4 linked regions of the Arabidopsis thaliana genome follow. The protein of the gene in region 1 interacts with the protein of each later gene in a pairwise test. Each region holds a gene or a part of one and is shown on either strand. Other genes may lie near its edges.

Region 1 (7,364 bases):
TGGTCTCATTCAACACGGGAAAAAAGTTGCTGTCTTACGCATGTACTGCAGTAGGAAACAGAGATAGACAAAAATGTGTTTTTATCATATCCAGTTTCTGTTGCTGCAGAGTTTTAACAAAACAAAATCACCTTAATAAAATATTAGCGTATAGAAAACATTCAGTTATAGATTCTAATGGAAAAATAAAAGTCAAGCTCATTACACTACAAAATCATTTCATCTTCCACATATTGAAAGCTGTTGATGCAGAGCCAAGAGTGGTCTGTTGAGTCACTCAGAAGACACCTTCATCTTTTTGGCAACAGTCTCTTCCTTATGCTTAAGCTTAGCGTCTTTCCGCTCTCTCTTCGATCCCTTAGATTTATCGAACAGTTTCATTTCTTTCAGCTGCACAAAGATCGAAAACATATCAGTTTGGGATGATAATAAAAATAATAATCTCCAGATTCGGATATTGGCGTTTATCGCTTTCTTTCTTACCTTCTGATCAGGCATATAAATCTTCCCAGTCTTCCCTAGTACTGCATCTTGATCAACGTTTTTCTCCTGTAGAAGAAGAGATTGATTGATTAGTCATCTGTCTCTTTCGATTTTAAGAGAAATATTAGACTTTTATGTTGTTTAGTACCTTCTTCTTAGGCTTATCCTTGGATGTTCTCATTGCTTCTTTCATTAAGCTATCGTTAGGAAGACGATTACGCCTGATAACCAAGTCCATGGATGGACCGACTTCAACAAGCTCCATTCTCGGAACAATGGATCCTGACTTTTTAAGCTTCAATGCGCAATGAGTAAGGAAAACCTTTGTTGGGGATATAGCTGAACATACGTAAGCGCGGTCTAAACCAGTAAGATTTAGATTATCCACAACCTGCAGACATATACAAATTCTGTTATAAGCCAAATCCATATAGAATCAGAATAAAATTGAAACTGGTTATGGAATTAGCTGCAAAAGTAGGTCATAAGAATCAAACACTTCACCTCGCCACGAAAAAGATCAGTGAGGACTTCTTTGAGATGCTTAAGCTCTGATACATTCTCAAAACCTTCACCAATAAAGCAAATGAAAGGCTTTGTTCCTTCATGAGGTGCGAATTTCTTGTCATACGAAAACGCCCGCAAGGATTTAAAGTTCTCAATCCCAACTTCTATAAGATCATAGACTTGGTGATCATACATTCTCCCAAGTACAAGATTGTCAGGTCGTTTCTTCGTGTGAGAACCATACTGCAATATAAAAACAATCACCAATGTTAGAACTCGCATCAAAGTTAATTTGCCAATACACCTTTCCAAATGACTTCTTAAGGCCTGTGATAACATCAGCCAATCATACCAATTTCCACCATAAATAAATACACATAGACTAACAAGACAGAAGCAGAGATGCCTTAGAATGAATCTAGATCACAGGATAGATCATCTTAATAACATTTTGTTCTATCTAGCAGTTCATAGCTAAGTTAAGAGGAGAATCAAAGTTGCAACACCATAAAACCAAGATGCAACAGCTGCCAAAGCTTATGAACTTACCACAAAAATGCTACAATCTGTTTTCTGAGAGAAGAACTCTAATGAAGTTTCACCTCCACTCTCGAAAGGCCTAATATTCTCATTCCTCCTTGAATATCTGATGGCACCTCCCTTCTTCAAACGGTAGAGTTCCGTCATTACAGAGCTAAGTGTAGCACTCGTCTTTGTTCCATGAAGTATCAACGTCTTCTTCCCAGTTTCAACCTACAAATTCCAAAAACAACCAATTCAGATACAAAGTTTGCAACTTTCAATCGATTCTTTGATAAATTTATCGACAAATAGAAAACCCATGAGTCTCATAGATGTCAAAACAACATTGAAGACAGCTCTCAACATGATTCACTTCTCGGTTTTAAGAAGGACGAAGGAGAAAAAGAAGAGAACTTTACCAACTTAGGAGCTCGGCTTTCGAGAACACGCTTGGCTTTGCCAGTCTTCGGAGTTCGTATTTCCATCATGACTCTGTTAAATCGCCGGAAAGTTTCACAAGCGACGGCTCCGAAAGAAGAGAGAAAGGTTTTTCGATTGATTGATATGGAGTCTAGGGTTTTAGTGCCTCCTCACAATTGGAAGCAACTTTAAGAGAATTCTAATATGACCCCTAACCTTATAAGTCTGTCCTAAATCACCCCACAGTTTTTTATTGACTATAAAACCCAATGTTTCACAAGGTCCATGAACTGTTTAAACTATACGGGCTCAAATTAAACAATGACAGCCCATGAACTTTTACACACAAAAAAGACATTTCATTGCGGTACAAAAAATTTACAAATTTTTATTTATGTTCACTTTTATATCCATGATGATGAAACTATACAAAACGAATAGAGAACATGAACATATTCCAAATTCGTTTCCATGTTATTATTCGAGTTGTTAAGGAGAAGAAACAACAAAACATTTTGATTGATGCTTCGTGTGAGATTTACAAGTTTCTCCCAATGGTACGATCAATGATCTTCACGCCTGACATTGTGCAATCGTAACTTGCTTCCCTGTTTTATAGAGAAGAAGGAAGATGCATGTAAGAGATATTTACATGGAACTGTCTTCTCCTCCACAACCACTTGCTTTTCATCCTCAAAAGGAAAAAAACTGGTCACTCACTACTGAATCAGACAGACAAAGTATCTCCAACTTAGATTCACCACAGAGATCTCAACCTAATAGTCTAGACCTCAAGATATTATAGTAAGGCATACCTTGCATAGACTTCTCGAGGTCTTGTAATTGTCTGATGAAACCAGCATTAGGACTTGCCACGGGTCTTTTGCTTTTAACATGTTGCAATGCTTGAGCTAAAGTCATACCGTGTTTCTTCATGAGGTAAGCAACAACTATAGTGACACTGCAAGTAAAAGGGACAAACCATCCAGGCTAAATATGTACTTAGTTTTGAATACTATCCAGCAAACAAGGCGAAAACCGCTAGATATTGAAGGAAGCAAACAAAACTGACCTCCGTGATTTGCCAACAAAGCAATGAACAAGAACACTACCGCCTTGTCTCTTGGCTTCATCAATGAAATCAACACACTCATCGAAGTACATTTCTAGATTTGTATCTTCCTTATCCACGACTATCACATAGAAAAACAATCAAACAAGCAATTCCATCCCAAAATCAAAAACATATTCTCTCTTCAACTAGATAACAAAGTGAAACCTTTAATAAGTTTATACCTCGAACAACCTTGTAAACAAAGTCATCAGGATGAGCTGGTCTCAACGAACTAGCAACAGTCAAAATATGTGTAACATTGTAAGATTTCAAAACATTCTTATTACTAGCTGCTGCAACAGATCCAAGATAAAGACCCTGAAAAAGTCAAATTCAACAAAAGGTTTGATCTTTGATAATGAATCATTGGTCATTTGGTTGGTAGAAAAAACCTATGAGTATTAGTAGTAGTAGTAACCTGTTCAATAAGGGAAGGGACATTGTCGTCTCTATAGGTACGAGCAACTTTAATAACACGAACAAGAGCTTGTATCTGATTCTTCACCTTTTCATTATACTTTTCTATTCCTGGTAACGAAGAAGATGACGAAGAAGAAGAAGGTGATCCTCTGTCTCTAGAACTCCTGATTTCATCGAATCAGAAAAAAGAAGAAGAGAGTTTACATATCAAGATCGTGATCATAGCAGCAAGAATCAAAATCAAAATCAAAATCCAGGTCACCGAAATAATGGAATCCGATTCTGATGAATGATCTTATAACCGAACAACGGTGAATCGAGAATTACGATTACAACGACGGAGTAGTGATTGGTTTAAGATCAAAAGAAGAATTCGATTATCAAGGAAGAAGAACTTACATTGGAAAAGAAGGAATACGAATTCGCCAAAGGAGAAAGAGATTTACAAAAAAAAAAAAACGAATCTTTGAAATGGGTTAAAGAGGAAATTGCAACTGCATGGTTCTCCAGGTTTTTTGGGGGAAGGAGGAGGAGGAGAGGGAAGGATGTGTTCAAAGAGGGCCAAATAGTAAAATTTCCTTTCTATCAGAAAAATCAGAAATGTTTTAACTTATTAGCTCAGTCCTTATATTATACTCAAAAATTTGTGTTTGGGATTTGTGCTTTGTAGGCTTGGTTTCCTGCTATTAGGCCCCCTGGATTAGTAAGAAGTAGTGTACTTGGCTGAAACTGAGGCAACGGTGTTGTGAATATGTCAGCAAAACTGTACAGAGGCAGAGATGTATCGAGTGATGATGATGTTGTTGTTAAAGACTGTTTGTTATTATGACGTAGTAGTAATCTACTTTAATGTTTTTTTCGAGGGCAGTAGAGCACAAATCTACTTCAATATAGTCCATCGAAGTTCGATATTTTACTTCGATAGACTATCTAATCAAAGCCGGTCTCGACGAGTTTCTCGGTTTCCATTTTGGTACGGTCTTTCCCATTCCTAGAAATTGTGCATGAACATGAAGTACTTCCTTGCTCACTTGATGCTGTCTTAGGCTTGTTTAGAAATAGGACCCTAATTGCTTTAAGAAATCTGACTAAAAAGTAATGGACAATGTACAAATGTACCCTCAGCACACCCTCTAAGCCCGGTCCTGGCACATATCGACGAGTTTGTCGGTTTCATTTTGGTATGGTTTGGTTTACCCACTCCTTGCTCACTTGTCTTAGGCTTGTTTAGAATTTGGGCTTATGGGCTTGGTTTGCTACGTCACCGTATACGTAACTTCGTCACCTCAAAAACTATGCGAGAAAGAGTGACTTAAGAAGCAACAAAAAGATAAACCAAAAACTATACGTTCTTCTTGTATGATGATGACGACATTGACTTTGAAACAGTGTTATCTAAAAACGATTTGATCGGAAATATCTAACAACGATTCAAGAAAACCAAATGAAATTTGCAATTTCCAAGTACAAATTCGAGAAATTGAGTAAACATAAACTTGGTAGAAGAAAGAAATTATTTTTCTAATTACAGATCGAAAGAAGATTCTTCAGAGCCAAGTAACAGAAACCAAGGAATTAGCAAGCCCAGATTGTTCAAAAGTAGTATTAGATCCAAAATAAAGATTCTTATAATCCCCAGGAAACCCTTGAATCAATTTAAAACGCCGCTTTCTCTCAGAAGATTCATCACCAATCTGCGAATAACAAAACGACCAAAGAAGCTGAACAGATTCACTCTTTAAGAAACTTCTCTGTATTCTTCTCCCATCTGGTAATCGAACGCAGATTCTGCACAAAACGCTTTGATCCATATCGCGATTCGGTTCTTCTGGTAAGTTAGGGAATCCGAATACCGCGTTTGATGAATTCGTCGTATTCTCGGTTTCTTCTGATTCTTCTTCAGAGAAGCGTTTCGGGCGTTTGATTCTTCGCAGAGACTCGATTTCCAGAGAGGCGACGTCTACGAACGGTGATAATTTCTCCATCATTGATTGACACTCGAGCATCGTTTTGATCGATGATTACGGAGAGATTTAGGTAAATTTCAAAACCCTAATTGTTTCATAGTTAGAGTGGATTTTTGTGGAATTTGTGAGCTTCTCGTTTATTTATAGAGACGAGACGATAGAGAGGAGCTATAAAGGTTTGTTTCCTTTTCCTTGAAAATAGAAAAATAGATTTATTAGTATTATTGTTTTTGTGTTAGTAGAATTGATTTTTGGAGATATTCTGCGGATTTTTTTTTGTTTCTATTTTCCTTTTTTTTTTTTGTGTAATTACAGATTTTGTTTTTGATAATTGTAAGTTTGTAATACAAATTTAATTATGAGAAATCTACATTGATTATGAATTGAGATTTTATTTGATTTCTCTAAAGAACCTAGTGACTTTCTTGAGCAATATCTTCTTGTTTTGGCAAGTTTTTTTTTTCTGTCCACATTTTTGCACGATTTTTAAGCAACAATATAAATAATATATGGATCAATTTCTTATACAATAAATTTATCGTATAATTTTGTCAATTACTAGTTTTCTTTTTTTTAGGTTTTTGTGTGTGGACAAACTCTCTTAAATCATTTTCATGTAATGATTTTGACTCTTATAAATTACTCTCATTTGACCCAAAAAAAAAAAAATTACTCAAGGTCTCAAGTCTCAACAATCAATAATTTTGCGTTTTGACTATCAAATTCATCAAGAAGAAGAAGAATTGATTATTTCTGTATATATGTACAATATCTTTTTTACTTCTTTAGTCGAAGAAGACATTGATTTCAATCAAAGTTTGTTTTGGTAACTTTTTTTGCTTACCACAAGAAGATGATGAGAAGGGTAACGTATCGTCAACATATAAAAATCATAAAACAATGATTAACAAAAGGTATCACAGAATCTCAGAGAATGCTTCAAAAGACTATAGAAAGTAGAAATTGAAACACCAACCAAGAGTTTTGCTTTGTCTCTCTTTAATTTTTATTCTTTGCATATATGAAGTAATAGACAATACCTTTCTTTCTTTCTCAAATCATTTGATGTAGGTCACAAACCAATCAAGCATCTCCTTGTGAGCTTCTTCTGCTGCTTTAACCGCCTCTGGTTCATCGATGTTGTATCTAACTGTCCATCCGTGTGACACTTTCGGGTGTATCTTCACGTAACTATTCACCTACAGGATCCGTTTTAAAGTTAGATAAAGGTGATTAAATTACACTGTTGAGTTGCGGTGATAAAGCAGCTTACCTCGGGTTTGGAAGATAGAATCTCCTCAAATTGCTTCAAGAGTGCTGGTGGGGACATTTGATCAATTTCAGCTCCTAATATAGCAATTGGAGCCTTCCCACCTGCAATAAACCCGTGAAATTGATAAGGATCATCAAAGACCGGTGAAAGTAAAGAAACCGGACCAATCACAGTGTTTTTTATGTTTGCAAATGTGAATTAGTATTCTTTACAGTAATAATGATAGTATCTAATCATGGCGAGATCAGTTACGCAATCCTATAGGTGACTCTAAATGTTACAACGCATTAGGCAAGGCATGACAACTAATGTTCCTTGGTTCTATGTGAGGAATCAAGATGGAAGTAGCAAAGTCACTAACCTTTGATATCATCAACATTGACAAAAGAAGGATGAAGCAACACAGCTGCTTGAATAAGCTCTTCTTTAGACAGTTCCACCACTACTTTTGCTGAAGATGAATAACACAAGAGAGAAAAGTACTATCCATTAGACAAAAAGAGAGCGTCACATCTCTTAGGCATAGATTTCTAACAAAAACTCACCACCCCAACACATCCCTGCGGCTCCAATGGCAGTTATGCCTTTGTTCTTTATGGTTTCAAGTACTGGTTTCGTGTTTTCAAAGCCCTTATCCTGAAAAACAAAAGAGGATATG
Region 2 (7,326 bases), on another chromosome or scaffold:
AAATGAAAATAACACTCTAAAACCTACAAAAACACTTCTTATAACTGTAAAAATATATTGCAATCTACCTAGATGACACAATTCTAGATGCCCCCATGAACATGATCAACTTTTCTATGTTTCATATTTATTTATTCCTCAGTGATTGCCTCCCTGGGTTTGTAGTGGGTCGGGCCGAGTAAAAATTGGCCGATGTTAACAATCATATCCATATCTGTATTTGCAACTCCAAGATTTATCCTCCACTTATTTTCGTATCATGACATTTTATGCGACAACTCTTATTTTGAATCATGATTCTTAAGATTTACAGACAGGACCGGCATTGAAGTCCACATATATTTGTAATTACAAAATCTATTATATACACACACAAAAATCTGGGATATTCTAATATTTAACAACAACTAGCCTCCACTATATTTAGAAGAGCCCACTCGAAGCATCACCACGACCACACAAATCTAAGATCTTTTCCTCTTGTATTTGTTTTTAGCATTACTATTTTGATATATGCAAGGTTTAGACCCCAAAAAAAAAGAAGAAAAAATATAATTGATATTTTCAAAATTTGAGCTCCATCTCTTCTAAGCCATGGGAAACACATTCCAAGACGAAGTTAATCAATAGTTCATCCTCTGCTTTTTCATCAAGTTCCTTTGTTCCCTCAAAAGCGTCAATAAATGGATAAAAACGGCATAGTTTTGATGCGAAAATATGAATTAGGTCGTCTTCTAGGTCAAGGCACATTCGCAAAAGTGTACCACGCACGCAACATAAAAACAGGAGAAAGCGTAGCGATCAAGGTGATCGACAAACAGAAAGTTGCGAAAGTCGGATTAATCGATCAAATCAAACGAGAAATATCAGTGATGCGTCTCGTTCGTCACCCCCACGTCGTCTTCCTCCATGAAGTAATGGCGAGCAAGACAAAGATCTATTTCGCTATGGAATACGTTAAAGGCGGTGAGCTTTTTGATAAAGTCTCTAAAGGAAAGCTTAAAGAAAACATTGCTCGAAAATATTTCCAGCAATTGATCGGAGCAATCGATTATTGCCATAGCCGCGGAGTTTACCACCGCGATCTCAAACCGGAGAATCTTCTTCTAGACGAAAACGGCGATTTGAAAATATCGGATTTTGGCCTTAGCGCGTTGAGGGAGTCGAAGCAGCAAGATGGCTTGCTTCACACGACATGTGGAACACCTGCTTACGTGGCACCTGAAGTGATAGGCAAGAAAGGTTATGATGGAGCTAAAGCCGATGTTTGGTCTTGCGGGGTTGTGTTGTACGTGCTATTGGCTGGATTTCTTCCGTTTCACGAGCAAAATCTTGTGGAAATGTATCGGAAAATCACGAAAGGCGAATTCAAATGTCCGAATTGGTTTCCTCCCGAGGTCAAGAAGTTGTTGTCTCGGATTCTTGACCCTAACCCTAATTCAAGAATCAAGATTGAAAAAATCATGGAGAATTCCTGGTTTCAAAAGGGTTTCAAGAAGATCGAAACGCCTAAATCTCCCGAAAGTCATCAGATCGACTCACTGATCAGCGATGTCCACGCAGCTTTTTCCGTAAAACCGATGTCTTACAACGCGTTTGACTTGATCTCTTCGCTGTCTCAAGGATTCGATCTCTCGGGTTTGTTTGAGAAAGAAGAGAGATCAGAATCGAAGTTTACAACGAAGAAAGATGCAAAAGAGATAGTGTCGAAATTCGAGGAGATAGCAACAAGTAGTGAGAGATTCAATTTGACGAAGAGCGATGTAGGAGTGAAGATGGAAGATAAGAGAGAAGGAAGAAAAGGACATCTTGCGATTGATGTTGAGATATTTGAAGTGACAAATAGTTTTCATATGGTTGAGTTTAAGAAAAGTGGAGGTGATACAATGGAGTATAAGCAATTTTGTGATCGTGAGCTTAGGCCTTCTTTGAAAGATATTGTTTGGAAATGGCAAGGAAACAACAACAATAGCAACAATGAGAAGATTGAAGTGATACATTAAATGTGTTTTTCATCTTATATTTTTCTGGATTTGGTTGTTTTTCTTTAGATCTCCGTGTAAAAGATGAGATTTATGATAATGGCTGCAATCATCATCACATATCTTAGATTGTTGTTGATTTATTTATTTAATTAATTGGGGTCAATAGTTACACAAAGATTTGAAGTAAAGAAAAGTGACAGAAATAAATGGATTAATAAATTGTTTATGGTTAAAGGTGCATGACTAGAATATAACATATTTAAAAGAACAACACAAATTTGGATTAGCTAATGGTGTGGCTTGGATTATAATGCTAAACTTTCTTCTCAAGATTTTGTTTTTGTAAACTCTACATGTTCAATTATATATCATAAACCGTCATATTAATTGACGTTAGTAGACAAAATTTCCAACAGAAATTACACAATCTTGTTCTAAGTGAATTTCTGTCATATTTCAAACTAACAGAATTAAAATTCAAAAGAAGGAAAAAGAAAGAAAAAAAAGAAGCAAACTCATAAAGAAACTTGTTTATTCCATCTGTGTTTTCTACACATCAATGATTCATATCTCACCACTCTCTTTAGGTCTAAATTCTAATGTCTCTCACACACCATCAAAGAACAAGAACATTACAAGTCGTTAACCCCACATATGAGTCACAAAACTAATAAAACAGAAACAAAAACTTCATTTTTCATCTTCCTAATCAGTATCAGAAAGTAAAAACGATGGCAAAGAACGCGAACCAGAAACCCGTTGGCCATTTTCGGAAGACAAATTCTGCAACTTAGGTTTCAACTCCTTATTACAAAACTCATCATACTCCATTTTATCACCTCCTTTCTTCTTCACTTCAACAACAACCAAAGCTGGTGTCAGTTCAAATATCTCAGCAGCAATTGACAATGGACCTTTCATACTTCCTTCTCTTGAACCTTCAAGACTCACTTTACAATCCTTCTTTCGCACAGTAAAACTCACAATCCTCGCGATTTCCTCCAACTTAGAAATGATCTGACCAACAGGAGCACCAGACACAAACCTAGATCCTTCACCATCATCCTCAAACAAACCCGAAAGATCAAAACCTGGCGAAAACGAAATGAGATCGAAAGCATTCAAACTTGCCGGTCTAGGCATCGAACCACCTCTTCTCCTCCCATCAAAAGACTCGAAGTCTTCCGGTTCAGAAACCGTAGAAGACCTCCCCGAAACCGATTCAATCGATTCGATCTCATCATCATCAGCAACGTTACAAAGCTGATGATCATCTTCAACATAAAACTTAATATGCTTAAAACCTTTCTTGAACCAACTAGTCTCCATAATATCCGGCATTGTAAACCGTCTCTCCGGTTTAGTCTCCAACATTCGAATCAATAACCGGTTAATCTCAACCGGAAACCATCTCGGACACCTAAAATCTCCTCTGTAAATCTTCTTATACATAGCCATAACATTCCGATCATGAAAAGGAAGAAACCCTGCCATTAACACAAACAAGATCACTCCACAAGACCAAATATCGACTTTAGCTCCATCGTAGCCTTTCCGAGCAAGAACCTCCGGTGCCACGTAAGCAGGGGTCCCACAAAAAGTATGAAATAACCCATCTTGTCGAATCTGATCAGAAACAGCACTAAGACCAAAATCAGAGACTTTTAGGTTTCCATTTTCGTCTAAAAGAAGATTCTCCGGTTTCAAATCTCGATGATAAACACCACGGAAGTGACAAAACGATACGGCTGAGATCAACTGTTGAAAATATTTACGTGCCATTTCTTCTTTTAACCTTCCTTTAGCTACCTTGTTGAACAATTCACCTCCTTTAACATATTCCATTACGAAATAGATCTTAGATTTCGTCGCCATGACTTCGAATAGCTGAACGATGTTAGGATGACGAACACGGCGCAAGATCGAGATCTCGCGTTTGATGTGTGCGATTAAACCGGATTTGAGAACTTTCTCTTTGTCAATTACCTTGATCGCTACGCTTTCTCCAGATTGAGCGTTTCGTGCGAGATAGACTTTAGCGAAGGTTCCGTGGCCAAGAAGCCTACCCATTTCGTATTTGCCAAGGATCAGAGCTTGATGATTGCTCTGATCCTGCTTCTTCTTTATCGATTTCACTTTTCTTAACAAATCCGCCATTGAAAGCGAGAGATTCTCATGAAATGGTGAAGAAAAGTTTGGATTTTGAGATCAAGATCTTCTTGATCGAAGATCGAATTCGCAAAAAAAAAAAAAACACGTTTTTTTGTTTGATTATTGAGAGGTTGTAGAAGAAGACGATCTCTCTCTCTCTCTCTCTCTTTCTCTGTTTTTCTCGTCTTCCTCTGTTCTGTTTTTAGGGCTTTTTCCAGAAATAGGATTTTTCTTGTGGTATATTTGGAAATGTTTCAGAATTGGTATACAAATAAATCTCACTTTTTGTATACCACCAACACATATATATAGCCTATTGGTCAACTGTTTTTTTTTTTTTTGCTTTAAATGCTTAAAAAACTAATACTATGTTAGAAAAATTGATTGTTTCTAATACAAACAATAAAAAATAATTTGAAACCGAAGGAGAATTTTTTTATTTAGATAGAAAAGATCAATGAATTATTTTTCATTTCCATAGATATAGAAACAATGGAAATGGAATATAAGTAAAAAAAAAAAAAAAAAAAAAGTTTAAACCAAAGTGTTTTGAGTCTTGGACTCGTAATCACTGAGATCAAGAACTAATCATTTCCAAGCATCAAGATTCGAATCTAAGACCTAGAAACGCAGTCTCTTTGAAAGGTCCCTAAAACACCAAAAGAATTTTATGAAAGAGTAAGAAACGAAAATGATCACATCTTGGCATTATAGAATATTCAATTACAATCGTAAATGTCATTATCATCGTAATGTCAACATTGATCCTTCGATAATATACTACATATTAAGAAAGTATAGAGCTTTAAAAGTTTACACCACATAACTGATATATTAGTAGATTAGTAGACACGTACTTAATTCTAGCACATGACTAATTCCAAAATTGAAGTATCACCTAATTAGAAAACTCAACAATATTGTATGTAATTTCTTCACATTTTGACGTTTTCGAAATATGATTACAAATCATTCACAATCTGTTTTGCATGAAATCATAAAATTAATAAAATAATATACATAAATTTTATTTTCATTCCTTTTTGGTGTTTATTTGTCTTGAGTTACTAACTTACTAGTCAGGTCAAATTACAGTTTTTCATTAATTGTTTTTTTAATTAGAAAACCAAATTGTAAGTCAAAGGTTTACATATAAGCAAAGTGACATAATGGTCGGTGAAGATTTAAGCAAAGTGACATAATGAAAAGTTTCCACTTGTCGTGAAATTGAAATGATTTGCTGTATTAGTGTATTTGATAGATTACCCAACCCAACTAACAAATCTTATTGATAATATTTTATTTTATTTTTGATAATATTTGAATATTGAGAGTGTTACGAAATACGAATATTCAAACTCTTAAGGTTTTTTAGACGTACATATTGATAATAACGTGCACGTATCAGGTCACACATGTAGTTGGTGAATTAACCTCTTTTGACAGGTGTGAAGTAGAGCAATTTACTCAATTCTTTCTTCTTTGTTGACAAAATTATCCATGTGAACTGTTTCTCCAAACAGATTGTTAAAATTTGTCACCAAAAATAGGTCATGTAAACAGAGAGATTTAGTCAATTGGGCTGGATTGTATTTTCTCTTTTTAGACTGGGCTTGCCAAAAAAAGAGAGATTTAGGTCCATACCTAATCATGGACCAGCAAAATGGACTGGAATTTAACTCTATAATTGGCCTGAAAGTCCAAAATGAATGAATTTCGGCCTAAAAATTGTTTTTATCTATAACAATTTATCTATTGCAAAATTGAGATTTTTGCTCTATTAAAACTTAAAATGTACATCTTTACCTTAATCAGATGACTCCGGATTCAAAACTTGATTGATTTTACAAGTTGATACAACATATCAAATTATAGTTGCGCCATTGTAAAACATAACTTATATAGTCCGGTCAGTTCAGTCAATGGTTTAATTATAAATAAAGAAGTATTATTTTGTTAGCCAAAATAAAAAAATAAAATACTGACAATCTAGTTCCTCCTTAAAAACCGTCTTTCTAATTTTCTTAAAAGAAAACAGTTTGCAATTTCTTAACGTGATTGTTTATATTGAGGATAATAATCAAGTGTTGGAAGATTAATGAGAATGATTCAGTTTGAGTCGCTCTCATCGATCTCCCAACATCAAGTTAGGTAGTACGGAAATTGCATAAATTTCTTTTACGTTGCCCACAATTCACATACATATACAATTAGTTTAAATTTTGATTATCACATAGAGGCAACGCTGATACAAATGATCATCATGTCAAAGATCCAGCAGTAACATAAGAATAACCCAATAACATTAAAATAGAACAAAGAGATCGCACACACATATAAGCAAGCACATGGACCAACAATGTTGGTGTGAGTGGTTAAAATGATAAAATAAAGAATGTGGATTAACTTTTAGGTTGGGTTGCTCAAGGAGAATGTGAATGTGTTAGATACTTTGTGGAATATTAGTTGGCATTCTATGGATCTTTTTGTCTTGGGATTTAGTGGATTTGTTTGGAATTTCCCAAGATCATAATTTTCTTCATTTTAAATTAGTTGTTATGACAAGGTATTTTTAATATACAGTAAAACCATTTTGTTCTTCCATTTCCAAGCTTATTTAATACAACCCATTTGCAGCACATTACTTTCACAATAATTACGTGTTGTTAGACTTAAATATTTACACCATGATGTTCTAATTGTGAAAGTTTTTAGGAAATTCAATGCTTTACTAATGGAAAACAAAAATTGGATGGATCAGAAATAAAACCGTTTATATATAAGTGAATTGAATTTTGGAGAATTTAAATCCTGCCATCACGACAAGAAAAAATGGCCGAAGTATACGTACATCAATCATTTTGCGTTTTCACAAACACATTGTTGCAATATGTAAAAGATGAGAAAATGACTTGCTAGTTCTTATTTAATAACTTAACTTAATAGTGTTGGTCGAGTTCAATTTTTAGACATCATGAAATTTATATGTAATTAATACACAAATGTCTTGACGTAATCTAGACTTTTGTTGTAGGAGATCTAATACCAAAAGAACTTTTTTTGTTTGTCAACTAAACACCAATATCATAACAATGAAATATAAACAGGAATATGGGGGTTATTATATGTTTTTCTTAGACAACTACAAGCACAATCAACCGCATGCATTTGGATATATATTTTGACTAAA
Region 3 (8,070 bases), 3.4 Mb from region 1:
TTCTGTATTATTTAAGAAGTTGAGAATGCATATCTTGCAAATTACTCGAGAAAATAAGCGGTAATCATAAGACTATGTATCTAATAATGCACTGTGAAATCTTCTTATCTAAATTCTAAAGCTATTACTCGCACAAAAAAATAAAATAAAATAGGCAGACATTACTTTCAACAGGGCAATGAAATTTGGAGACCTCTGAAATGCAGCTAGTACAAATTCCAGTAGCCTCCTACGGATCTGTGTACGCAAACAATATCTCTGTAAGATAACGTCCAATATGGCAGTGATACAGGTCTATACACTAAAACGTCAAAATAGCATTGGCATTTCTGAAGAAATATTAATGGACGCTACACTCATATCTAGAGGAGAGAAATCAATAAACATTGTCAATTAGCCTGTTCTAATGATTTTCTAAGGAAAGTCTTCAGAAAAACAATACAGAAGATGCGTGTACCTCATGAGAAAAAATCTTATCCGGAAACATTGTAGAGTTTCTTGTCATGAGTAGAGGGATTAAAGCACAGATCAGAGCTGCAAAAGATAAAGTTGTCAACGGCCTAACTAAGTTGGAAATTGACTTATATTCCTTTAGCAACTAAAACAAACTAGGAAGGCTGTAAATTATCTTACAGTCATTTGCATCTCGCAATGTAACACTAAAGTAGACATCAAGAAGTCGGGGAGCAATCTTAAGAGTCTGCTTCATCCTCTCTGACCGAGGACCACTTGCAGCAGCCTGCAGCGCTGCATTCAATGTAGGAGAAGCGCGGTGTCTTTCCTGCAGCACAAATTTGACAAAATACTTTCAGTTTGTCTAATATATCAGACAGTTTAAAAAACTACCAACTTTCACATAGGCCCTAAATTTTTACTAATAGACAATTATTATATAAAACTGTTTCTGTTGAGTTTTTGGAATAAAGCAAAGCCAGAGGAAGGATGCATACCGCTAGACCATCATTTTCGTCCTTCAGAAGCTCCAGAAACAGAGGATCAGCTACATCTATTGTATTGTTATCTTCAGATTCAGAGTCATCCCCTCCATCCCCGATGGTTGAACCAGTATATGCTTCATCCATAAGGGCAAGAAGCATCTGCATTCACAGGTATCCTTGTCATTCATTGACTATCTAAGAACTGTCATATGGTTTATGTTTTTATGAGATATAAGACCTCCGGAGCTGCACTCTTCTGAATTGAAGCAATGCTACCTCCAACCCTTGACCCCGACCCCGAGCTCCTTTCCACCTTTTCTAATGCCACGACCAATACTAGCAAAAATATTAACAAGAAGATACATAATTAGTACACAGTACACTCGTAAACTCAATCAGGCTGAGAGAATAAAGTCCAAGCATCAATGGAGAAATACCAAACAAGCTCAAAACAATGGAAACCAGTCAGCTTACAAATACATCTTAGTACAGTTGGAGTCATCCAAGTGGTCTCCAAATTAGAGTACAAACAAATATATGAAGTCGAGTAGCATTTTTTAGACAAGCGGACTCACTTGGCAAGTCTACAATGGATGGAAACAGAGGAAGAAATGACCCAGGTGATATCAGTCCTGGAAATATCTTCAGGAAGGACTTCTCCAACCTGAAATTAGAACAAAGAAAATTTATTTCCTTGAGATAATTGTTCAAATCACTTGTGCATATTTTCAGCTTACTTCTCCCAATTCCAGGCAATGAGCTTAAGCAACAACGGGAAAAACTGCAAATACAATTTCTTGAATTAGATAGAGATATAATATATCTGTTATGGCTTAATTGTTCAAGCGGTGGAAATGTAAATGGACACAAATTAAGAAAGATGAAAGCAGAAGGAACAGCTAGATTGCATAAAGCTATAAGGACAGAAAGATACAGTTCTATTACATATGTTGATGCACACAGTAATAACACAATAAATAGAGGCACTTTACTAATTAAGAGAGTAATCTTCTTGAGACTGAAAGCTAAAAGAAAGTTTAAGGATTTATATGGCTAGTCATTCCAGTTAATACCTGAGGGAGTAAGTTTGGGAAAGATGCTAAGAGCTTTCTTTGGTTCACAACAAGGAATTCACAAGTTGCCTCTGCCACAGCGGCATCTGAGAACTCACTACAAAGAAAATCATGATCATATCAGCAAAATTTATCTACATAAACGCATAGTAGCACACATCTCAGAGCACAGAGCCACAACAAGACCCAGTCAAGACATAAAAGGTAGTCCATACCGGCTAAGACATGAGCGGAAGAATGTCCTCAAACTTGGGTCAGAATCGTGCAGAACCATATCCCCAAAATCAAGAAAAAACTGAAGAATGGCCTAAACACACAAACACAGAATCCTTAATACACACTAGAACCCAAAACGTAAAAAAACAAACTTTCATCTGAAATTCTTCAGGGAGAATAATGTACTAGCAAGAGAAGGCCTTTGGACGCCCCTGACTCGGACTGAGATAGTGAAGCAACCGAACGATGGAAGACTTTATTGAATTGTGGATAAATTCTAGCCACAAGATCATCTGATTTCTCCATTTTACAGAACCCATGCAGCTTCTTCACCTAATCCATATACATTCAAACAAAACGAAAGCAATGTATCACTTAATACCAGTCTCAAGCCAATTCTCAATAAATGGACAAAAGATGCGTACTGATTGTAGTATAGATGGATCAGAAGCAGGATCCGTAGAATCCCGCGCGCTGTTGCTTAGGATTCTGAGGTAAAAATCCCAGTCTCCTTCTTGATCACTCATGTTCTCAATCAAAAAGAAGATCACTAGAAAAAATTCATATGATATGATGATGGATGAAGAAGTTTCAGCTTCGGCGACTCCAGAGTCCCGGAGAAAGAGGATTGGAAAGAAGACGACGTCGTTTATTCAAAGATCTATATCCTTAAACTACATGCCATCTCTTCTTGTCCACATGTCGTTTATAGTAGCATAAGACGGCACACAGTTTATCAAGCAAACCCCCTAGACGGGCTATGGATTGGCTGCGGCCTTTTTATAGCTTGTTGCAGCGATACGACATCGTTTGGCCAGTACGACTTCGTTCGGCCGGTACGACTTGTCTTCTTCACGTTTTCTAATAGGATTAATTAACTACGTGTCGCTTATAGTAGCATAAGACGGCACGCATTTTATTCAGCAAACCTCCGTATATCGCAGGCTCTCTCACTCTTTCCGTCTTCTGATTTCTCCCTCCAAAACAAACCTCGGAAGAGAAAATTGGAGCGAAGGAGCGATAGATATGGCGTCGGCGTCCTCGTCTGACGGAGTTGCCGGAAGGATTCAGAACGCTTCTTTGGTTCTTGTCTCCGATAACAGTTCCACGCTTGCTGTGAGTATTTTCGTTCAAACCAAATTCACTCTTTTTTTTTTTTGATGTAAATATAGGTTTCTGAGAAGTTCCTGAAATCTTTCCTCCGAGATGTTAACAGATAGGAGCTTCGGCTTATAATGGGTTTGACTAGTTAGAAGTGAACAAGGGATTTCTAATTTGGGCAAAATTTATAGCCTAGAATCTGCTTTATCTCGTATCTGTTTTTACTTTTATTTGCAGGATATCCGCAAAGCTGTGGCAATGATGAAGAACATTGCAGTTCAATTGGAGAAAGAAAATCAAACGGACAAGGTTGGTTATTATTTTGTCTGATATGAGAGGAAGCGTTTTCAGGGATAAACGCACTTGTAGCCGTTTTACATTTTTTTTTTTTGCTACAATGTAGAGTAGTTTCATTCATCTCCTTGAGTTTTTGTATTGGCTAATCATAAGTGACCTTATCTTAAACTTGTGGGAACTGCCTAGACTTTCTTCTAATGTGATTGATTCTTGGTTAATTGCATTGCTGTAAAACTTGTTATCACGTATCTCTTTCATTCTGACATTGTATTATTGTCTGCTCTTGCCAACACTCTTTCCTTGATGTCTGTCTTTGTTTTTCTTAAATGCTCTTTATATATGCTCTTCATTTTTATATTTTGGGTTCCACAGGTTAAGGACCTTGAAAATTCTGTGGCTGAGTTATTGGATTTGCATAGTGATTGTAATCACCGTTCGACAGCAATTCAATCCGTTGCAAATCGGTACCAACCCGTGGAACAAGTACTCACTTTCCCTCTTTCATGTGTTATCTAATTTCTTATTCGGTTGCATACTTTTAGATGTAGCAAATTGATTTTTACTCTAATGACTGCAGTTAACGGACTTTAAAAAGTTGCTTGATGATGAATTCACAAAGCTCAAGGCTACACCTTCCTCAGTGCCACAAAATGATCATTTGATGCGCCAGTTCAGGGAAGCAGTTTGGGTATGTTTTTAACTTAAAGTTCTTGGCTTGTATCTAATAGGTCTATAGTCCGATTTCCTTTTTAAGTTATTGTCAATGTTTTGCTGCAGAATGTTCATCATGCAGGTGAACCAATGCCTGGTGACGATGATGAGGACATTGTTATGACCAGTACTCAGTGCCCTCTTCTAAACATGACATGTCCCTTGAGCGGGAAGCCTGTCACTGAATTAGCAGATCCAGTTCGCAGGTACAATGGATGTTTCTTGTCTTTTTTCCCTTAACTTGGATGTCTTGTTTTGTTCGGACGATTTGCTTGTCCTCTCCCATGCCTGATGTCTATGTAGGATGATCCTCAAAAGCCATATTCAGTCGATACTGACTTCTTTCTATACATGACCATAAAGCTTGAATATGATTTCATCTTTCGTGTAGCAGTAGAACTAATCAAATAATAATATACAATTGTGCGGTGAACTGATACCATGTCTCTCTGATCCTTTTTATGGTTGCAGTATGGATTGCAGGCACGTCTATGAAAAATCTGTAATCCTGCATTACATAGTCAACAATCCAAATGCGAATTGTCCTGTAGCAGGTAAAATAGTTCTTGCTCAAAAACATCTTTAGACACCATTACTTTGTTCTTTCATGCTGATTTGTCATTTGTATGACCTCTTGAAATCCTCAGGGTGCCGAGGTAAACTGCAGAATAGCAAAGTGATTTGTGATGCAATGTTGAAGTTTGAAATAGAGGAGATGCGCTCGTTGAACAAACAATCTAATAGGGCTGAAGTGATTGAAGACTTCACAGAAGATGTGGATGAAGATTAGAGATCAGACATTTCTTGGACCGGGTTTTAAGCGCTGCAATGAAACAAGTTGAAGCCATATGTTTCACAACTTTTTGCTATTCTTAGTCCGTTCGGTATATTTTATCAAACGTGAAATTTGATACCAATTGTTTCCACTTTATGGAGGATGTAAATAGTCGATCTCTTCCGATTCTGAATTCAACTGCTGTTTTTTTTGCCAAGTTTACGTTCATTTCCTGAGGCTAGTCAAAGCTTAATTTCATTTCTTGTAGTCAGAATTTTCGATTTAGTACCATTATTAGGTCTACTCGGTTTATTAGTTTTTCATGGTATGGTTTGGCATTGGTTAAGAGTTTGTGTGGATATAAATCCAGTTTGGTTTTCAAATTCAATTTTTGGTTCGATTTGAATTGGTTACTAAAACAAACTAAAGGCTTTTAGCTTCCCAGTTCCCAGTCCCTGTACTCGAAAGGAAGATCTTCATCTTCAATCTTCATGCTAATCGACGAAAATGGCGTCCGCATTCTCTGCATTTAGGGTTTCGTTGTCCAGAATCAGTCCTTTCCGTGATACCCGGTTCTCTTATCCCGCCACGTTGGCTTTAGCTCATACCAAACGAATCATGTGCAACTCTTCGCATTCTGTATCTCCATCTCCTTCTCCCTCTGACTTTTCTTCTTCTTCTTCTTCTTCTTCTTCTTCTCCTTCTACTTTTTCGTTAATGGAAACAAGTGAAAATGCAAGGTGGAGACCCATGTGCTTGTATTACACCCACGGAAAGTGTACAAAGGTAAACACTTTGCTACTCGTCGTTCTTTTTAAATTTAGTTTTTGCTACAGCGGAATGCGGAATTAAATTCCATTTCTTTATTGATTGGTTCCTGCTCCGTATGCTTGTTCGAAAACAAGTGATGCGAAATTTGAATCAACTATGCAATGTCTGCGACCTGTTCGATGGAATGTCTGAACGAGATTGGAACTTGTTTATTGTTTGTGTCTCGATCGTTACATTGTTATTCTTTACTAGTTTTTTATACCTAAATAATCGTGAATGATGGGTAATAAAGTTTATGTTGATGATATCAGATGGATGATCCTGCCCATTTGGAGATTTTTAACCACGATTGTTCAAAGGAACTTCGAGTGGCTGCTGCTGATCTTGAGAGAAAGAAGTCACAAGAATTCAATTTTTTCTTGGTTATTGACTTGGAAGGAAAAGTTGAGATTCTTGAGTTTCCTATTTTGATCGTAGATGCCAAAACCATGGAAGTCGTAGACTTATTCCACAGGTCATAACAGCTTCCTATCTTTAATGGCATTACTTTTCTTAACAATCGTAAGGTCTTTGGCTGTTTGGATGGTTGATTTTGTGTCATTGGAGTAAGAACTGTTAGTGAGTTGTTTAGACATAAGAAGACCTCAGAAATTTATTTTCTTTCAGAATGTTATTGGTCATAGCTAGATACCACAATGTTAATTATTGCTTGTTCTCTAATAATTTTACTCCTCAATTTTACAATGTGGTTGATTATTTGTTCTCTATACTTCTTCATAAGGTTTGTAAGACCCACCAAAATGAGCGAGCAAGCAATTAACAAATACATCGAAGGCAAGTATGGGGAACTCGGGGTTGATCGGTATGCTACTACTATCTTACTTCTAGGTGTAGATATATTTATATGGCTACAATGCTTGTTATGTTTTCTGTCTAGTTGCACTAGTCAATCCTTAATGCATGCGTTACCAAATGCTATAATTGACTACTCTGCTAAGTATGATAATCCTAAGAATTGGTTTAGAGTCCACACTCCACAGACTTCTCCCAACACCTCTTTTGGTTCTCTTTGGATTCTGAGACTGTCGCACTAACTTTTAAAAAATCGAATTGTAGTGTGTGGCATGACACAGCTATTCCATTTAAGCAAGTTGTTGAGGAGTTTGAAGTTTGGTTAGCTGAGCATGACTTGTGGGATAAAGATACAGATTGGGGTCTGAACGATGCAGCTTTTGTAACCTGGTGAGAATTAATGATAAGAGATGGGGCTGCTTATGTAAATCTTTGAGTTTCTCATTACTGATTTCCTTTGGGATACTGATTATGTTAATGTTATCAGTGGAAACTGGGATATAAAGACAAAGATTCCTGAGCAATGCGTAGTTTCAAACATCAATCTTCCGCCATATTTTATGGAGTGGATCAATCTCAAAGACGTCTACTTGAATTTCTATGGCCGTGAGGTAAATTGGAGATATCACTATGCATCATCATCTTATTGTATGTTATTGTAAACTCATTAATAGTAGATGACATGACAGGCAAGAGGAATGGTGTCAATGATGAGGCAGTGTGGAATAAAACTCATGGGAAGCCACCATCTGGGCATTGATGACACAAAGAACATCACGAGGGTGGTGCAACGGATGCTCTCAGAAGGTGCAGTTCTCAAGCTCACAGCTCGAAGGAGCAAATCCAATATGAGAAACGTCGAGTTTCTCTTCAAGAACAGGATCAAGTAAAGCTCTCAAGGAAAAATGACAAACCCAACAAGCTCCATGATCCATAAATTAGTTACTTAGTCAAGTCTTTTGAGTATTAAGATGATAACTCTTAGAAGACAATGTGGTTACGCCTAAATGTGATGTGGTGAGAAGGTTTTGTAGATTCACATGTTTCAGAGCTATGATATTTAGATTACGAAGACATAAGAGGCCCATGAATTGGCCCAAAAATGCTTGGTAGCAACTTTTTGTAGGAAAATCTGAGAATCTCGAAAATGAATAAGAGGCCCATGAATTGGCCCAATATCGGCTGTAATAGACTGTGTGCTGGTTCATCGGAAAGTCAAACAGCAACTTCGTTCATTTTGTCAGACTCGCTGACTGAAGAGGACTCTCGTGTGCTTGAGTTTGTACTATTGACAAACAGAAATTCATCATGGGCTTGGGTTTGTAATATTGACAAA
Region 4 (8,159 bases), on another chromosome or scaffold:
GAACGTAATTACTACTTCGGTAAGGCCCAAAGCCCATAGCAACAGCTTGATCAACAAACTCAGCAGACCCATCACCAGAGATTCTCGCCATGGGCCGAGCCCATTCCTTAACGCGCCAATTCTTAACCTGTTCATAATCATAATTCACTTCAAAAAGCTGACCAGTCCCAAGCGACAACACCAACAAATCCTCCACTCCTTTCACCGCCGGGAACTCCTGTTTGTTATGAAACACGTGCGTTATCGCCGCCGCCGTCGGATTACTCATCGCTAATCCACCCCCCACCGCAACGCACCGCGTTTTCCCGTCGACGGAACACGTGCGAACCGGATCAAACGTCCCCGGCTCCGCCCATGTGGCACGGCAAATATCTCGGAGACGAAAATCGAAACTGTCGCTTTCTAACGCGTCGGCGCGTGAGAATAGAAACGGAGCCGTGCTTGAGAGATCGTAGCAAGAGATGAGAATTGGTTTGAGTGTGTCTTTAAGCGTTAGATCGGCGAATGATGCTTTCATTGCTTTTTCTAGCTTCGCCGTTGCGGCGGTTACTGAAGATGATCCGGATCCGGATCCAGATCTTATGACCCGTTTAATCGCCGCTCCTGCTCCTCCTCCTCCACTTCCGCTCCCTGATCTGTAGAATCCTTCTGCGTTCTCTACGAGAAATTTCCAAGTGTCCTCCGCCTTGAAAATCGGGCGGTTGCCGTCTCTTGTCGCAAATATCATCGCAGCGAATACTCCACCGACACCTGATCCGGCAGCGACGTCGAAGTAATCGGCGATTCGAGCGTTTGGATCGCCGGATTTCTCTTTCAGCATTTGCTCTAAATAGATTAGGGATTTTCCCGCCAAAAGACCTCTCATACCGCCACCGTCAATGCTCAAAACGCAGATTCTTCCTCTCGGACTTCTGAAAGATGAAGACGGTGTTCCCGGGAGAACGACGCCGTTTGGAGTCAACGGTGATCTGGGAGAAGGACCTGCTTCGGAATCACCGGGTCGTAATGGACTCTGAGGAATCCATAGTAGCCTTGGGTCTTCGTAACCAAAGAGAAATTTGCTTTCGAGAATTGAGAAGATCTCGTAATTGAGCTTATCATCGGGTTCGTGTGATCGAGCCGTTGATAACGTTGGACTGGTTTGAGTCCTCTCGTAATTTCCAGGAGTGTTGGGAGCTGTGTGATTGACAAAATGCTTCTTCTTCCCTTTGGAGGAAACTGACAATGGCGGTGGCTTTTCGTAGCGCCGATTCATAATCGTTAGCTTTTAGACAAACCTTGAAATTGAAGCTTCCGTAGCTATAGTATGAGAGGTGTTTTTCAAAGACGTGTGCAAAAGATTTTAAAAATAGATTTTGATTTGGATTTTGTATGAACCAAATGGTGTATGTTAGCATGACATGGCTAAGCACTACTCGTGTGCTTGGAAAGGTCTGGTACCCACGTCCGATGCCTCCTCCAGCAAATTTAGCTCATATAGAATTTTCTTTTCTATCTTCTTTATTCTTGAGTAAACATATACTAATTTATTTAATTTGTTTAAACATAGCAGTTTATTGGTTGGTTGGCAGATATACCTAATATATCCAATCACATAAAAGTATTCGAGGAATGTTATTAATTTATCTGAGTGCAATCTAAATTATCTAATTAAAAAACAGTATAACACAGTTCACATTTTCTTACTCGAATCTCAGTTTTCACATCGAACAGTTAGATTGTGGAAGCTTTCTTAAAAGACAAGAAGAAAAGTGAATGAAGTCAAAATTTGAGACATAAGAACAGATGATTCTTCTTTTCCCAAATGGATTCCAATCTAACGTATCACAAAACATGAATTCCAAGTGAATTTTTTTAAATAAACACTCTCATGTACCTTATATATCTATAATCTTAAAATACAGCAATTTAATATATCTATATGTATTATAAAGATCATTTTATCACTGGAAGGTAAAACAAGAAATCTTCAGATGATAACAGGAACCAGATGGTGATATTATGTCTCCCTTGTAGTTTACACGGAGAACGTACCAGACAGGTTCCCAAGTGTTGCAAGTGGCGATCCTGCATCTGTGAAGTAGGACGCGAGATTGATCCCCGAGTAGTCGTATTTGTTCAAGAAAGGATGTTCCTGAAATTGTTTGACACAGAGTATGATTCAACATTTCAATGGATGAAAAACATGCAAAAGGGATTATATAAAACAAACCATCAGTTCCTTTGCAGAGCTTCGACTGTTTGGATCCTTCTGCAAACTGGATGAGAGTGTAGAGTGGAATATGTTAACTTAGTAAAGTAATCTCAGTAAAAGAGGGAGCAGGAATTTTTTGAGAGATTACCATGTGGAGATGAATGAAGATAACTCAGGGGAGAAATTTCCTGAAGGAAGAGCGGGTGGCGGTTGGTCAACAATGGCTTCCATCAACTCGAAAACACTGGTCCATGTTTCCTCTTGATTCGGAGGTGCATAAGGGAACTTTCCTGTTGCACATTCGAGTACTACTAAACCCAAGCTCCATATATCACTTTTATTTCCGTACTTGTTTCCAACGATTCTCTCTGGCTGTAAAAAGGAAAAATTAAGATTCTCAATTTTTATAACACTCGAAAGGGGTTTCAAACTAGTCAATGCTCAAGAGACAAATAAGATACTTACAGACATATAATTGTAAGTCCCCACAAATGTGTTTGCTAAACCTGCGGTGTTTGTCATAACGGTACTCACACCAAAGTCAGTTATTTTGACTTCTCCTCTGTGGTTGATCAACAGATTGGATGGTTTCAAGTCACGATGGATGATATGCCTATCGTGATGAAGATAGATTAATCCTTGAAGCACCTGCAATAACAGAACCAATAAATCACATCAATCAACCAATTAACAGTGAAGCGTATAGTTTCCTGTGTATCCTGTGTTTCTTACTTGTCTAAAGATGGCAGAAAGATAGGAGTCAGGGATGGCTTTAACTGACTTGAGAAAGTCTGCTAGAGATCCTCCGTCCATGTACTCCAAGATTAGTGAGATTGCGCCATTGTCATAAAATGACTGGTACGAGGTAACAAGATTTGGACACTGTGACGATTGATTTATTTTGAGCTCTTGTGCAATTGCCTTGCGAATTGCTTCATCAATATTTAGTTGAATGACCTAATCATATAGCATCAGAGTTATGCACAGTGAGTGACAAGGCAAGGAAGAAAAAGATTTGTAAATCTTCAAACACAGAGAAAAGATGAGGAATTTAGCTCATCATATACATAAAAGAATCTGAAGGTTAACCAATGAGTACCTTCAAGGCGAAAAATTGGCCAGTCCATTTGTGTTGAACCAGCTGAACAACACCACTACTTCCTTTGCCAATGACTTTAACCATATCCAAATCCGACAAGCTCAGCTGATCATCAGCTGGCTTAATTGGAGACAGCTGAAACACAGTCGCAAACGAAACAGATTACAAACAGTAATCTAGAAGATATGAGCTTAATCCCTGAGTTTCTCTATCCAGAACTACAGAAATGATCTTAAGAAGGTTCTAATTATGATCAGATCCACCAACCACATTACAGTTAATGCATTCAAACTCAACAAAATCTTCATATGCAGTACAAATAAACAATCAAACCTAACACTCGCGAAATTCAGTAAAATCAGCACCGAACGAGGAAGAGGAAAGACTTACGACTTCAGGCTCCAATTGAGAAATGATTCGAACTCCATCCTTGTTAACACGTAGATCTCCATCCTTAAACGTACCGCTTTGAGTCCTACAGAGAGAACCAAAACCTTTCCTCCTTCAAAAACAAAACCAGAGACATTTCCACACACAAATACATCTATCTATCCACAGATCCATGGAGAAAGAGAGATCGAGAAACATACAGGAATTTGGTGATGGATTGCTCGCCAGCAACAGGAATTGCGAGCTTGAGATTATTGCTGAATCCACCTTTCTTCATCGTCTTCGTCTACTTCGTTCTTCGCTTCTTCCTTTTTGTTGTTTCCTCGTCATTATATATTAAGTAAAACACAGTTTTAAGCATAATTCATGTACTTTTCAGCCAGAAATTGGAATTTGGAAATAAAACAGCCATTAATTAATATTAGTCAAGCACATGTTCACGACGTTGACCAACGACTTAGAGACTTTCCCATTTACTACTTCTTTTTCCCGGTTTTCTTTGACCGAAAAGTTTTAATCCACATTTTAACCGGAAACAAACCGGTTAATTCAGTGATTCTTCGTTCTTTAGCTTTTGGTTTTTAAACACTCCCAAAATCACCACTACAACAAAACGCTAACGCAGAATGCCAAACTAACGTTTGATATTTATAGAAAGTTTTCAATATTTCAAATATTGTTTGATCAAATACAATAAACACATATAACAAACAGTAAAATCTTTACTTATGTTTCTCGGTTTCATGTTTGAAGATAACAAGGTTTTCTTCAACAAGGAATATACAAATAAGCATACACCCCTATATTTGTTTTACTCATGTATACATTCAATTACACATCGAAATTATCACACAAAGAAAAATTGTTTCGAATTGATTAATCTATCTATCAGTATACTTCATGTCTAGTCTCTATAACCAACAAGAACATGCTATTCTTCAACATTGTCTATATATTATAAGCCCTATATACATTATATAGTCACAGACTCAGAGAGGCTCCACAAACGATTTCCCCAAACATAATCCTATCACAAATTGCGGGGGGCAAGAGCTACTAGAGGCAATGATCATGAGGTTCGTTCATATCTCCATCATGTTGAAGGAGAATTTCGAAAGAAGCTTAGGAATTTGCGACATGATCGGCCCATAAGTCTGCAACGCATAAATGAAACATCACAACACATAATTAAATACAGCTTGATTGACTGACCCTGTTAGTTTTACCAGGAACATCGATTAAAAGTTCACGATGAGTTAAGGGCAATGCAAGTAAGATAGTACATACCTTTTCATTTTCATGGAGTTGACACAATGGAACAGCGAGGAGTTTGAAGTTCTTAGGCACAACAAACTGTTGATGTACCGGTAATCTCACAAGAAAAAGCTTTGTGCATTCCTACACAAAAGATGAGGATAGAGCAGAGCTTTTAGTATAAGCGCAAATCTTCAAAAGTCTCAACTTTTTCTTACAATGAAAGTGAAACTAACTAACCAACCTTTGGGTGTTTAATATTAGGTGGCAAGAAAGGATACATCAATGTCTCAAAGTTGGGTCTCCACCACATCCCAATACATTCTCCTACCTACAACAATGTTGTAATTAGAGAGACCATTCTTAAGCCAGAAACAATCAGATACAAAAGCACTTTAACAAGAAGCCATAGTTCCTACCTCATAACCCGAAACACCCACATTTTCGTTAACCGATAGCTTTGATGCTAGTTTCCGTTTTAGACCTTCAATATCTAGAAGATTAAGGAGAAACATGACTTTAGCGTTTAGAATTGAGACAGCGATATTTATGCATAAAGATGCAAGGAAACAGCATACTAAACCTGATTCTCCAGGTCTCAAACGACCACCAGGAAGCTTGAAAATGGAGTTTCTATATTGAAGAAGCAAAACATGAGGATGCTTGAACAACTCAACCTGATGTGTCCCAACATTAGATTTTAATCAATCCTTTCAAACCAATTTTCCCTGTAAAACTTTTCAAAATCCCTAATTTGGCTACCAACTATAAAATTACCAGAAGAACAGCTTCAACGCAAGTTCTCAATCCATGAGCAGCATAACTTCAAAAGAAACAAAAAAGAAACTTTAGCTATAGATTAAAACAATAAGAAAAAAACCAGATGATCTAAATCACATCAAAACTCGATTTACTTGGATTTCAATCTGATGACTCGATCAGAGATAATCTCGTCCTTGACGCGAAGAGCTTCTTTTGAACCGAAGTAGTAGCTGCTAAGCGGGTATAAATCAACCATCAAGTCATGAACGACATCGTTTCGTCTCGTCGTGTTGTCACTGATCTCCTCCATATCTAACGCTCGAGCTTCTTCACCCATTTTCTGCCCGTAAAATTCAAAGACGAGAGCTAAAAGCGATCTCAATCGATTAAAATTAAATAACAGAGAGACCACGAGAGCAGAGAAGACGCAAGAAGAAGAGTGAAGAAAGGTGTCGTAGTCGGATCACTGAGACGTGGCGGCTCCAGAGAGTACTTCTCCGCAATTAGCTGACGACGGCGGGAGAGTGAGGAAGAAGATATTAATGGGCCTGTTACGATATTAATGGGCCTTTAGTAGTAAACAAGAATACGGAACGATGTTAAACACTCTATTGTTTCCAACTACTAAAAACGACGCGAGTTTCTATTTTATAACTAAAAAACGAGAATCAAAGTCTCTGTTTCAAATTTGGGTCTTTTGCTTCTTCTTGCTCACTTGAGGAAACACAGTAAAAACCTAAAAAGAGAATGAAACTCGCAGGTCTGAAATCGATCGAGAACGCTCACGAAGATTCCGTTTGGGCAGCGACGTGGGTTCCGGCGACGGAAGATCGACCGGCGTTGCTTCTGACTGGATCTCTTGACGAGACGGTGAAGTTATGGCGACCGGACGAGCTGGATCTTGTGCGGACTAATACTGGACACTCTTTGGGAGTAGCAGCTTTGGCTGCGCATCCTTCTGGGATTATTGCAGCATCTTCTTCGATTGATAGCTTTGTCCGTGTGTTTGATGTTGATACTAATGCTACGATTGCTGTTTTGGAAGCTCCTCCTTCTGAGGTTTGGGGAATGCAATTTGAACCTAAGGTAATTGACTCAATGAGATTGCCTCCAATTTTAGGGTTTTGAAGGATTTTGGGTTGTTTTGTGGTGAAAGAATTCGATTGCTTCATTGAATTTCACTTCTTAGTTGCGAGTAATGCTTCTCCTGATCTATATAACAATGCTTGGGTACTATATGGAATTGCTGAGTATCGTTTGAATCTGTAGCTCTGATCAGATAGGGTCATCTACTCTGCTCGGAAAATAGATCTAGATCATCTTCTGATTTTTCATTGAGTCTTATATAGTAGATTAAGAACAATTTATTGGTGCTTTGATGATAAATCTTGATTTGGTATGATAGAATTTTGACCTGGTGACTATCAAGTATCAGTGCAATGATCTCTCTTTTAGTTTGCAGTGGAGTTTTTATTTGCTTCTGAGCTTATAATTTCAACATTACTCTTTAGAATGGTGCTCTGCTAACATAGTATTTTACATGTTCCAAGGGTACGATCCTTGCTGTTGCAGGTGGAAGTAGTGCCTCAGTCAAGCTTTGGGACACTGCAAGCTGGAGATTAATCTCAACTCTATCAATCCCACGCCCAGATGCACCAAAACCTTCCGATAAAACCAGCAGCAAGAAATTCGTTCTCTCGGTGGCTTGGTCTCCTAATGGGAAACGACTTGCTTGTGGTTCAATGGATGGTACGATCTGTGTTTTTGATGTTGACCGCTCAAAGCTACTTCACCAGCTAGAAGGTCACAATATGCCTGTAAGGTCCCTTGTGTTCTCCCCTGTAGACCCGAGAGTCCTCTTCTCTGGATCAGATGATGGGCATGTGAACATGCACGATGCAGAAGGGAAAACGCTGTTGGGGTCCATGTCAGGGCACACGAGTTGGGTGCTGAGCGTTGATGCTAGCCCAGACGGTGGAGCCATAGCAACCGGCTCAAGCGATAGAACTGTGAGGCTATGGGATCTTAAAATGAGAGCTGCGATTCAGACAATGAGCAACCACAATGACCAGGTTTGGTCTGTGGCCTTTAGACCACCAGGTGGAACCGGTGTCCGGGCTGGTCGACTTGCTAGTGTCTCTGATGACAAGAGTGTATCGCTCTATGATTACTCATGAACAATTCGGTTTTTTGACTTTTTTCTTTTATGCATTCTCCAAGACGCATCTAGTTGTAACAATATAATCTGCAACAGGTTGATTTTGACCGGAGTCTTTAGATTTATCGCTTACACAAAAAACAAAGAAGATAAAATGATTCAAACTTTGCGATAGAACTTTATTGGAAAACTGAGAAACAGATAAAGATCACAGAGAGATGAGTTGAAGAGTAACGCAAACAAACGTCTAAAAGTTTTCAAAAAACAAAACAGCTAAAGATTATGGTCTTGTCTCTTATGAC

Evidence for each region.
Region 2: the proteins of DSPTP1 (region 1) and CIPK19 interact in binary tests that used the Arabidopsis thaliana proteins (3 or more experiments, as listed by UniProt).
Region 3: the proteins of DSPTP1 (region 1) and HPY2 interact in binary tests that used the Arabidopsis thaliana proteins (3 or more experiments, as listed by UniProt).
Region 4: the proteins of DSPTP1 (region 1) and MKK2 interact in binary tests that used the Arabidopsis thaliana proteins (3 or more experiments, as listed by UniProt).

Annotation. Positions count from the first base shown.
Region 1 is NC_003074.8:8,474,783-8,482,146, reverse strand, and holds DSPTP1 (dual specificity protein phosphatase 1), read right to left. Parts: upstream 4,026-7,364; 5' UTR 3,868-4,025; coding exon 3,866-3,867; intron 3,631-3,865; coding exon 3,465-3,630; intron 3,365-3,464; coding exon 3,229-3,364; intron 3,126-3,228; coding exon 3,005-3,125; coding exon of another isoform or gene 2,974-3,004; exon of another isoform or gene 2,894-2,973; coding exon 2,748-2,893; coding exon of another isoform or gene 2,704-2,747; exon of another isoform or gene 2,655-2,703; coding exon of another isoform or gene 2,626-2,654; exon of another isoform or gene 2,612-2,625; coding exon 2,496-2,611; 3' UTR 2,306-2,495; downstream 1-2,305. Other genes in the region: AT3G23620 (Ribosomal RNA processing Brix domain protein), read right to left, coding at 274-390, 484-549, 632-874, 988-1,233, 1,540-1,743, 1,932-2,000; AT3G23605 (Ubiquitin-like superfamily protein), read right to left, coding at 5,014-5,472; AT3G23600 (alpha/beta-Hydrolases superfamily protein), read right to left, coding at 6,492-6,632, 6,707-6,807, 7,068-7,157, 7,252-7,342. UniProt on the Arabidopsis thaliana protein: Has a dual specificity toward Ser/Thr and Tyr-containing proteins. Dephosphorylates MPK4 in vitro.
Region 2 is NC_003076.8:18,581,758-18,589,083, reverse strand, and holds CIPK19 (CBL-interacting protein kinase 19), read right to left. Parts: upstream 4,409-7,326; 5' UTR 4,143-4,408; coding exon 2,691-4,142; 3' UTR 2,494-2,690; downstream 1-2,493. Other genes in the region: CIPK20 (CBL-interacting protein kinase 20), read left to right, coding at 684-2,003. UniProt on the Arabidopsis thaliana protein: CIPK serine-threonine protein kinases interact with CBL proteins. Binding of a CBL protein to the regulatory NAF domain of CIPK protein lead to the activation of the kinase in a calcium-dependent manner.
Region 3 is NC_003074.8:5,099,266-5,107,335, reverse strand, and holds HPY2 (RING/U-box superfamily protein), read left to right. Parts: upstream 1-3,176; 5' UTR 3,177-3,253; coding exon 3,254-3,343; intron 3,344-3,565; coding exon 3,566-3,637; intron 3,638-3,997; coding exon 3,998-4,108; intron 4,109-4,202; coding exon 4,203-4,313; intron 4,314-4,402; coding exon 4,403-4,542; intron 4,543-4,807; coding exon 4,808-4,890; intron 4,891-4,983; coding exon 4,984-5,126; 3' UTR 5,127-5,492; downstream 5,493-8,070. Other genes in the region: AT3G15160 (AP-5 complex subunit zeta-1), read right to left, coding at 1-2, 166-237, 458-534, 634-781, 951-1,097, 1,177-1,274, 1,514-1,602, 1,676-1,719 and 4 more; AT3G15140 (Polynucleotidyl transferase, ribonuclease H-like superfamily protein), read left to right, coding at 5,619-5,897, 6,194-6,396, 6,664-6,744, 6,999-7,124, 7,222-7,345, 7,424-7,624. UniProt on the Arabidopsis thaliana protein: E3 SUMO-protein ligase that modulates cell cycle progression and functions as a repressor of endocycle onset in meristems. May function downstream of the meristem patterning transcription factors PLETHORA 1 and 2 (PLT1 and PLT2) in root meristem development.
Region 4 is NC_003075.7:14,591,282-14,599,440, forward strand, and holds MKK2 (MAP kinase kinase 2), read right to left. Parts: upstream 4,023-8,159; 5' UTR 3,961-4,022; coding exon 3,884-3,960; intron 3,796-3,883; coding exon 3,684-3,795; intron 3,429-3,683; coding exon 3,294-3,428; intron 3,152-3,293; coding exon 2,927-3,151; intron 2,843-2,926; coding exon 2,660-2,842; intron 2,567-2,659; coding exon 2,343-2,566; intron 2,259-2,342; coding exon 2,213-2,258; coding exon of another isoform or gene 2,198-2,212; exon of another isoform or gene 2,135-2,197; coding exon 2,018-2,134; 3' UTR 1,758-2,017; downstream 1-1,757. Other genes in the region: PLP8 (PATATIN-like protein 8), read right to left, coding at 1-1,255; homolog of CFIM-25, read right to left, coding at 4,766-4,837, 4,971-5,081, 5,182-5,268, 5,357-5,430, 5,521-5,614, 5,715-5,760, 5,852-6,036; VIP3 (Transducin/WD40 repeat-like superfamily protein), read left to right, coding at 6,447-6,785, 7,250-7,876; MTO2 (Pyridoxal-5'-phosphate-dependent enzyme family protein), read right to left, coding at 8,153-8,159.